2 separate regions of the Mus musculus genome follow, and region 1 is reported to be linked to region 2. The links are microRNA targets in miRTarBase. Many come from high-throughput screens and were not tested one by one. Region 2 holds a microRNA gene; the other region holds the end of a gene's coding sequence.

What was found. The annotated mature microRNA mmu-miR-17-5p reads CAAAGUGCUUACAGUGCAGGUAG and lies in region 2 at 2,290-2,312, shown strand. An mRNA with a match to its seed (bases 2 to 7 or 8) in the 3' UTR can be bound and repressed. Matches are read on the target gene's strand: a 7mer-m8 pairs with bases 2 to 8, a 7mer-A1 pairs with bases 2 to 7 and ends in A, and an 8mer does both.
Region 1: the mRNA of Rab12 is a reported target of mmu-miR-17-5p. Seed matches in the 3' UTR shown: 7mer-m8 at 399-405.

The regions. Positions count from the first base shown.
Region 1 is chr17:66,491,938-66,496,002 of GRCm38, reverse strand. Rab12 (RAB12, member RAS oncogene family) reads left to right here. Exons shown (of 6, transcript NM_024448.2): 6 at 200-1,491. The coding sequence ends at 313. Among named protein-coding and RNA genes, the nearest start is that of Gm41608, 12 kb to the left of the region's middle.
Region 2 is chr14:115,041,395-115,045,459 of GRCm38, forward strand. Mir17 (microRNA 17) reads left to right here and starts at 2,277; the gene lies at 2,277-2,360. It overlaps Mir18 (microRNA 18), which reads left to right and starts at 2,457; the gene lies at 2,457-2,552. Mir19a (microRNA 19a) reads left to right here and starts at 2,606; the gene lies at 2,606-2,687. It overlaps Mir20a (microRNA 20a), which reads left to right and starts at 2,763; the gene lies at 2,763-2,869. It also overlaps Mir19b-1, Mir17hg and Mir92-1.

The sequences.
Region 1 (4,065 bases), not on the chromosome of region 2:
CCAGCACCCACCCAGCATTTCACAACCGTCTGTAACTTCAGCTCCCAGAGATCCAACACCCTATCCTGGCTTCCTTGGGTAACGGGCCTGTGGCACAAAGGCAACACACCCGTGCACACGGAATGAAAGGTTTACAGTTTAATACAATCCTGCCGTTTGCAGGACTGAAGTGTGTCTGTGCTCTCTTCTTGTCCTCCAGATGCCTCTTGATGTTTTGAGAAACGAGTTATCCAATAGCATCCTTTCTCTACAACCAGAGCCTGAGATCCCACCAGAGCTGCCTCCTCCCAGACCACACGTCCGATGCTGTTGATTTGATACTTTGGAGATGGTGCAAGCGATTCCTAGAAGGGGGAAACGTTCTGTTCTGCACTACAATCACGTGACAATTTCCTTTCGCACTTTGTAACCCAAGTCAGCTATACACTAACTTGTAAATATGCAAATATGCAATCCTGGGTAAGGTCGGGTTATATAAGTTACACACTTCCCTTCAAATTATATTTCCTCATTACCCCAGTGTCTAGTGTACGCACACTGGGAGGCGTAGTACTTCTAATACGAAGACTGGGAGAGAAGAAAGATGTAATATTTCCTGAGTACTATAAATGTCCTTGTTAATTACACTACAAGGCAGACGCTCCGATGAGAAGAGAGGACCTGGTGCTTCGCTTGCTGTTTCAACGAAAATCTACAAAACTGAAGTTTTTTGAAAAGGAAGACATGACAGCCACCTTTTCTTTATTTATGGGCTTTCCCCACACGGCACCTCAAGGTTTGGAGTGTCTCTGCACCAAAGCAGAGCTCCCTCACGGCCACAGTGAGAGCACACATGGGCCATGTAGTGAGAGGGTTCCTGGATAGGGGACTGGACTTAGTCCCGAGGCTGCAGAACCCTGGGTGTTTCCCGTTGGCTGTGACCTGCTTTTAAGAATGAAAAGGTTCAATAGAGAAAGAACGGAAGGGCTGGGATTGCAGCTCAGCATTTGAGCATCTGTCCAGCGTACGTGAGGCTCTGGCTTCAATCCCCGTCATCGCAAGGAAAGAAAGAAAAAGAAGCGTTTTTGAAACTATAGAAAAGATTTTAAAATCACACTGCTGTCCTACACAAATCCTGTTTAAAGGGATTTTAAGAGTTACCTTTTAGTATATCAAAGAATACACATGCATTTGCCTAAACATCCTGTATCTTTGTAATGACAAACTTCTCCCCTTGATGGTGAGGCTTATTCCTATTAAGCCTAGACTGTGTTCTTTAAGTTTTCTTGGTCCCCACCCCCCCTTGAGGGTTTTTTTTTTTCCTGGTCTGATAAGGAATTTGTGAACTCTATCTTTGGTATATCTTTTATTAAGCTGCACTGTTTTGTTTAGTCAAGGTAAATAAGTATGTATTTGAATAACTTGGCGTGTCCTGAGTGTTGTGCTATGAGAAGCATCATGGTCTTTCTACACTAATGAAGTGCAAATAAAATTTTGTATTTATGAATGACAGTTGAATTTGCCGTGTGTTTGTGCAGTTATAGATTACATGTGCCAGTCTTTTTCACGAGCTCCGCATCTTAATCTTTTGAGTGTTTTTTTCGGTAAGAAAAGCATGCTGTGTTCTGTGGGAAACACTCTGGCAGCTTTAGAAGGTTCCGCATGGATCTCTCATACAATCCAGCAACTTGGTTTCTAAGTCTATGTGCACTCAGGAAGCAGATCGGGTACTGGACAAACTCTTCCAGCAGTGCCCACAGCATCAGTTTTCACAGTAGTCAAGAGTTAATAAACCCAGGTGGCATTCAGTGGAACAGTGGGGAAGCACACTGATTCAAAAACAGTGGGTACTGTTCAGGAGGCAGCGGCAGAAAGACCACAAGATCTCAGCCAGCATGGTCTACCTAGCGCATCCCACAGCTAGCGCATCCCACAGCAACCATAGCTGCACAGCAAGACCTTGTCAGTTCGTAACCCCCGAAAATATATTTTCTAAGCCAAAGTCGGTCCACAGTACGCTGTTGTGCAATGGTAGCGTGTAAAAAACCCTAACATCATCGCCCTAAATAAAATGAGCCAATTACAGAATGACTACTGTATAATTCCACTCTGAGGTAGAGTCCTGACATTCATAGACGGGCCCATGATTATTGGCTCTGTGAAGAGGGCGGGGCTAAGAGCCAAGGTGTGATGGGTGAGGAGGATGTTGGGGGAGGGGGAGGGGCTGAGAGCCAGGGTGGAATGGGTGGAATGGAGAAGGTAAAAAGCTGTGGAGATGGATGTTAGGGATCGTGTCATGCAAAGAATGTGCTTTAAGATACTGAGCTCCTGCACCAAATACGGTCTGGACACATTGGCATATAGAGTTCTGAAAGGACTTTTGCAAGCGCACCATAGTCTACAGTTAGTCACCTCCACGCCCACTCTGTTCTTGCATACTGGGTCAGTGATGAAGCCATACTTGCCATCCTCTGCCTCTTCCTGTTGAAACCCGATGAGAAACACAAGGAACTTTAGAACCGGAAGGAAGGGACTTGGTTGCCATGTTGGCTCCGATGGTGGAACCCATCTGTAGGACCCCAGCCTCGGTGTGTGAGCATCTGTGCTCCTTGCTCTCCTCCTGCCAGGCCATCCGACACACAGCAGTCTCTGTACCCGTCTGGCTACCCCGAGCTCCTAAGAGCCCCATCTTGCAGGAATCCTGGGGGCACCCTCCTCCTAGGGCCACCAACCTGTACTGACTACTTGCAGGTGTGCAGTGTTCCCATTCTCAGTGGACACCAGGTGTGGCAGCACACGCACCAGTAGGTAAATCCTACAGTCAGGGAGCAAAGGCGCAGAGGCACATGAGTTATAAGGCCTTATCTTGAAAAAGAAAGCCAACAGTTGGACAAATATCTCTGATTAAGAGTGCTTACTCCTAGCTGGGCGTGGTGGCGCGCGCCTTTAGTCTCAGCACTTGGGAGGCAGAGGCAGGTGGATTTCTGAGTTTGAGAGGCCAGCCTGGTCTACAGAGTGAGTTCCAGGACAGCCAGGGCTACACAGAGAAACCCTGTCTCAGAAAACCAAAAAAGAAGAAGAAGAAGAAGAGGAGGAGGAGGAGGAGGAAGAGGAGGAGGAGGAGGAGGAGGAGGAGGAAGAGGAAGAGGAAGAAGAAGAAGAAGAAGAGGAAGAAGAAGAGGAAGAAGAAGAGGAGGAAGAAGAGGAGGAAGAAGAGGAGGAAGAAGAGGAGGAAGAAGAGGAGGAAGAAGAGGAGGAAGAAGAGGAAGAAGAAGAGGAGGAAGAAGAAGAGGAAGAGGAAGAGGAAGAAGAAGAAGAAGAAGAAGAAGAGGAAGAGGAAGAGGAAGAGGAAGAAGAAGAAGAAGAAGAAGAAGAAGAAGAAGAAGAAGAAGAAGAAGAAGAAGAAGAAGAAGAAGAAGAAGAAGAAGGAGTGCTTACTGCTCTTGCAAAGGACCTGAATTTGGTTCCTGTCACCTCACAGTCCACAGCTGCCTGTAATCCCCAATTCCAGGGTCTCCTAGGTTTTCTGATCTCTGAAGGGATCTCTGTATTGATATGGTTCACACAGGTACATACATATGGTACACATACACAATGGTACACATAATTCACACAGGCAAACACATCAATAAGAACAATCTTTGTTTTGTGTACTTTGCCAGCATGTGTTATCTGCTCTCTGAGGCTTAAAAGATGGGGATCCCATAGACCTGGAGTTACAGACAGTTGTGAGCTGCTGTGGGGGTGCTGGAATTGAACCTATGTCCTCTAGAAAAAAAAAATATCCAGTGCTCTTAACCACTGAGCCATCCCTCTAGCCCTGAGAAATAAAATTTAAAAACAAAACCCAATATTCAGAGAGGTATTTCAGCTGGTAAAAACAAAACAAAACAAAACAGAAACAAAAACAAAAAAATTAACTCAAGAGGGCTGGAGAGATAGCTCAGTGGTTAAGAGCAGTGACTGCTCTTCCAGAGGTCCTGAGTTCAATTCCCAGCAACATGGTGGCTCACAACCCCAAAGCACACACCAAGGTGGGAGAGAGAGAACCCACAGCAGAACGCTGTCCTTCGACCTTCACACGCA
Region 2 (4,065 bases):
GGAGAGGCCCGCCCGGCGCACACAATGGCCCTCGGGAGGCTTCGCACGAGGCCGGCGGCCGTCCCGGGAGCGGCGGGAGCCGGGCGGGGCGCGCGGCCGCCGTGCGGGGAAAGTTTCTCCCGGGGGCGAGAGTTAAAGCGCCTCCAGAACAAAGCGGCGGCGGCACATGGGGCAGGCCGCGGGCCGGGAGGGGGCGCGCCCACGAGGAACCTGCGCGCGGGCGGCGTGGGCGGGCGGCACTCGGCGTCCCCGAAACTTTGTGCGCGCCGGGCCGGGCTCCGGGACGCGGGAGCTGCGGGGCGACGGGGCCGGGGCGCCACCCCGCGCTCCGCGTGGGCTTTGTGTGCGGCCGCGTGGGCAGCTCCCCTCGCGGGCGAGGCGACCCCTGCGGTCCGCCCGGGCGGCCCGGGACGCCCCGGCCCGCCCTCGGGGCGGCGCGGAGCCCCGGACGGGCGCTGGCTGCGAGCGCGGCGCGGGAGGGCCGGGCGGGTTCGGCAGGAGCGGCGGCCCCGCCGCCATGTTCCTGCGGGGCGGGCTGCGCGCGCCGAGGGCGGGGGGGGGGGGGACATGGCGGCGACTGCGCGCCGCCGCCGATTGTTCCCGGCTTAGGCCTCGGGCCGCGTGCGGCGAGCGCCCTGTCCGCCCCCCTCCCTCCCCCGGAGCCTGGCCGGGGGGCGCGCGGGACACAAAGGACGGCCGGCGTGTCCGGAGCCTCGCCACGCTCGGGCCTCCGCGCCGCCGCTCGCCGCGCAGCCGCCCAGAAACGGGCGGGGGTTGGGGGGGGGGGGGAGTCTCCGCGTCCGGCGCAGCGCGGCCCGGCTCTGACCTGCCGCCCCCTGGCGGCCGCGCGGGGAACCCACAAGGGCCGCCTGCCCCCTTGTGCGACATGTGCTGCCGGCCCGGGCTCCATGAGCGTGGCGGGTACTTGGCAGGATCCCGTGTTCCCGTCCGGTTTTCTCTTGATAAGCTGGCGCGGAGGGGAGAAAACTGGAGAGCGCAGCAGGGCTCGTGGTTCTTAGGTGACCAGAGGGAAGAAAATGAGCAACGTGCCACGAGGATCACAGCAGTTGGGGAAACAACTCTTTATCCCGGCGTGCAGCCACGAGGTCCTGATTGGGGGAGGGGTGGTGAAGACTAGTCCTGGTTGCCCTTTTTCTCTAGCTTGAGCTGGACAGTAGAGTTCAGGCTTGCTGCTACTCATCTTGCAGTATTTCAGGGGCACATTAATTCGTGCACGGATGTGAATCTTGGTGGGTTTTCAACTTTATTTTGTTACAGCGTTTTCCACCCAATACATTGTTGCCCTCAGGACCTTGTGGTCCTGGCTCTCTCTTTTTTTTTTTTTTTTTTTTTTTTTTTGGCAAATGGATAGAATTGCCCCTTAGGAAGATTAAGAGAAGAGCAACTTGGAATGGGGCTCGGAAAGTGGTAGTAATTTTGAGCAAATGTGCTTACCCTTTCTCTGTCTTCACCCCACCCCCAACCCTAGTCATACACGTGGACCTAGCAGCACCCGAAGCATTGCCCAAGGATACTTGCTGAGAAGGAAGTTTGCCTGAGTGGGTGAGTATATTCTAGTTTTGTAGCTAAAACTTCTTTTGAGACCTTTGGTTTTCACTTTTGTCTTTGAGCTTGTACAACATTCTTGGTCTTTTAAGGTATGAAATAAATACAGTTTGAACTCTTGTCATAAATGAGTGAGCCACATTTTAACGTAGTAAATCTACAGTGGCTTTTGGACACTAACCAAATAGTTGTAGACCCTTCAAGTTGGAGTCATAGAGTATTTCTAATTTGGGGTGATACTAAGACTTTTTTATGTTTTATGACTAATAAACTTGAAAATGACTAAACAATAATCATTAATCTTGTCGAGTATCTGACAATGTGGAGGACAGAAGAAAGGGATTGCTGCCTGGTCAATGTGAGGCTTTCCTCTAAAGGTAGTACCAAGTCAGACTGCCTTCCTGATAACAGGTCTCATTTTGTAGGACCCTTATTGTGTGTTTTTTGGGGAAGCCTACTGTAAAAGCCAACATTTTAATGGGATTGTATCTTATATTTCTTTAAGGAGTTTTTTTTTTTTTTTTAAGGCTTACATGTGTCCAATTTGGAACTTCTGGCTATTGGCTCCTCCCCTCCCCCCCTTGGGTATAAGCTGTAATTGATGTTTGTGACAGAATTTAGAGCTTTGGCTTTTTCCTTTTTGTCTAATTATTTATTTCAAATTTAGCAGGAATAAAGTGAACCTCACCTTGGGACTGAAGCTGTGACCAGTCAGAATAATGTCAAAGTGCTTACAGTGCAGGTAGTGATGTGTGCATCTACTGCAGTGAGGGCACTTGTAGCATTATGCTGACAGCTGCCTCGGTGGGAGCCACAGTGGGCGCTGCCTCGGGCGGCACTGGCTGCGTCCAGTCGTCGGTCAGTCGGTCGCGGGGAGGGCCTGCTGGTGCTGCGTGCTTTTTGTTCTAAGGTGCATCTAGTGCAGATAGTGAAGTAGACTAGCATCTACTGCCCTAAGTGCTCCTTCTGGCATAAGAAGTTATGTCCTCATCCAATCCAAGTCAAGCAAGCATGTAGGGGTCTCTCCATAGTTGTGTTTGCAGCCCTCTGTTAGTTTTGCATAGTTGCACTACAAGAAGAATGTAGTTGTGCAAATCTATGCAAAACTGATGGTGGCCTGCTATTTACTTCAAGTGTTGTTTTTTTTTAAACTAATTTTGTATTTTTATTGTGTCGATGTAGAGCCTGCGTGGTGTGTGTGATGTGACAGCTTCTGTAGCACTAAAGTGCTTATAGTGCAGGTAGTGTGTAGCCATCTACTGCATTACGAGCACTTAAAGTACTGCCAGCTGTAGAACTCCAGCCTCGCCTGGCCATCGCCCAGCCAACTGTCCTGTTATTGAGCACTGGTCTATGGTTAGTTTTGCAGGTTTGCATCCAGCTGTATAATATTCTGCTGTGCAAATCCATGCAAAACTGACTGTGGTGGTGAAAAGTCTGTAGAGAAGTAAGGGAAAATCAAACCCCTTTCTACACAGGTTGGGATTTGTCGCAATGCTGTGTTTCTCTGTATGGTATTGCACTTGTCCCGGCCTGTTGAGTTTGGTGGGGATTGTGACCAGAAGATGTGAAAATGACAATATTGCTGAAGATGCCGATTTCCACTGTAAAAATGTTCACGAGCTGATGGAGTGTATGAACACATTCTGTAAACTGTGATTTCTATTGCTTTCGTTGGTGTGTAAAACGGGATTTTTTTAATTGAAATTTGTGTTTTTAAATTGTGGTTTGTTTTTACTGAATCATTTCATTTTCGTGTTTGCTCGCTGGATTTAGTAAGAAGTTGTGTGTGGGGGCTTAGGTGAAGTTAAACTGCCTTTTGAACCTGGTATGACTTCAGGTTTATTTTACTCTAAAACCCATTAACATGAGTTAAGAAAAATGTTACTTTCTTTGGATCTCTGTTTATTAAAGTGTGACAATTCAGATGGAGTGTTTTCTGATAAGATTATTCCTAATCCGTGAGTTCTTAACAGTTAACAGGTGGTGGCCACTCTGTTAATGTGCACACCCTGTAAGAAAGAACTATCCTTGGACTGTTCTTACCATGTGACCCCCTCAAGGGAAAGATGGCAAACTGATGGTCAGTAGAGTGACAGGTACACATGACACTCGAGTGCTGGGTCTGGAGAAGCTGCAGTTAGTATTTAGGATAACAGTATATATAATATATAGTTCTACATTTGGGCAGCACAGTTGGTTTCAGGCTATGAATAAAAATCATTGGAGTGAAACCTAAAGAAAAGTAAAATTAATAAGGAAGAGCTGCTAAAATCAGGTTTAAGCTGACACTATCTACAGAGCTAAAGTTTTCCATAATATGTTGCTTTTTTTAAAAGAAATGCAAGAAGCTGACTGATGGATCCCTGAGCTGCCAGGTAAGGATTCCACAGGCCTGGGTTTGATTGTGAGTGACCAGAATTGTACAATTATTACTAAAACAGAAACATAGTCACTTCTGACTCCATTCTTAACATTTTTGGATTAAAACTTGTTTCA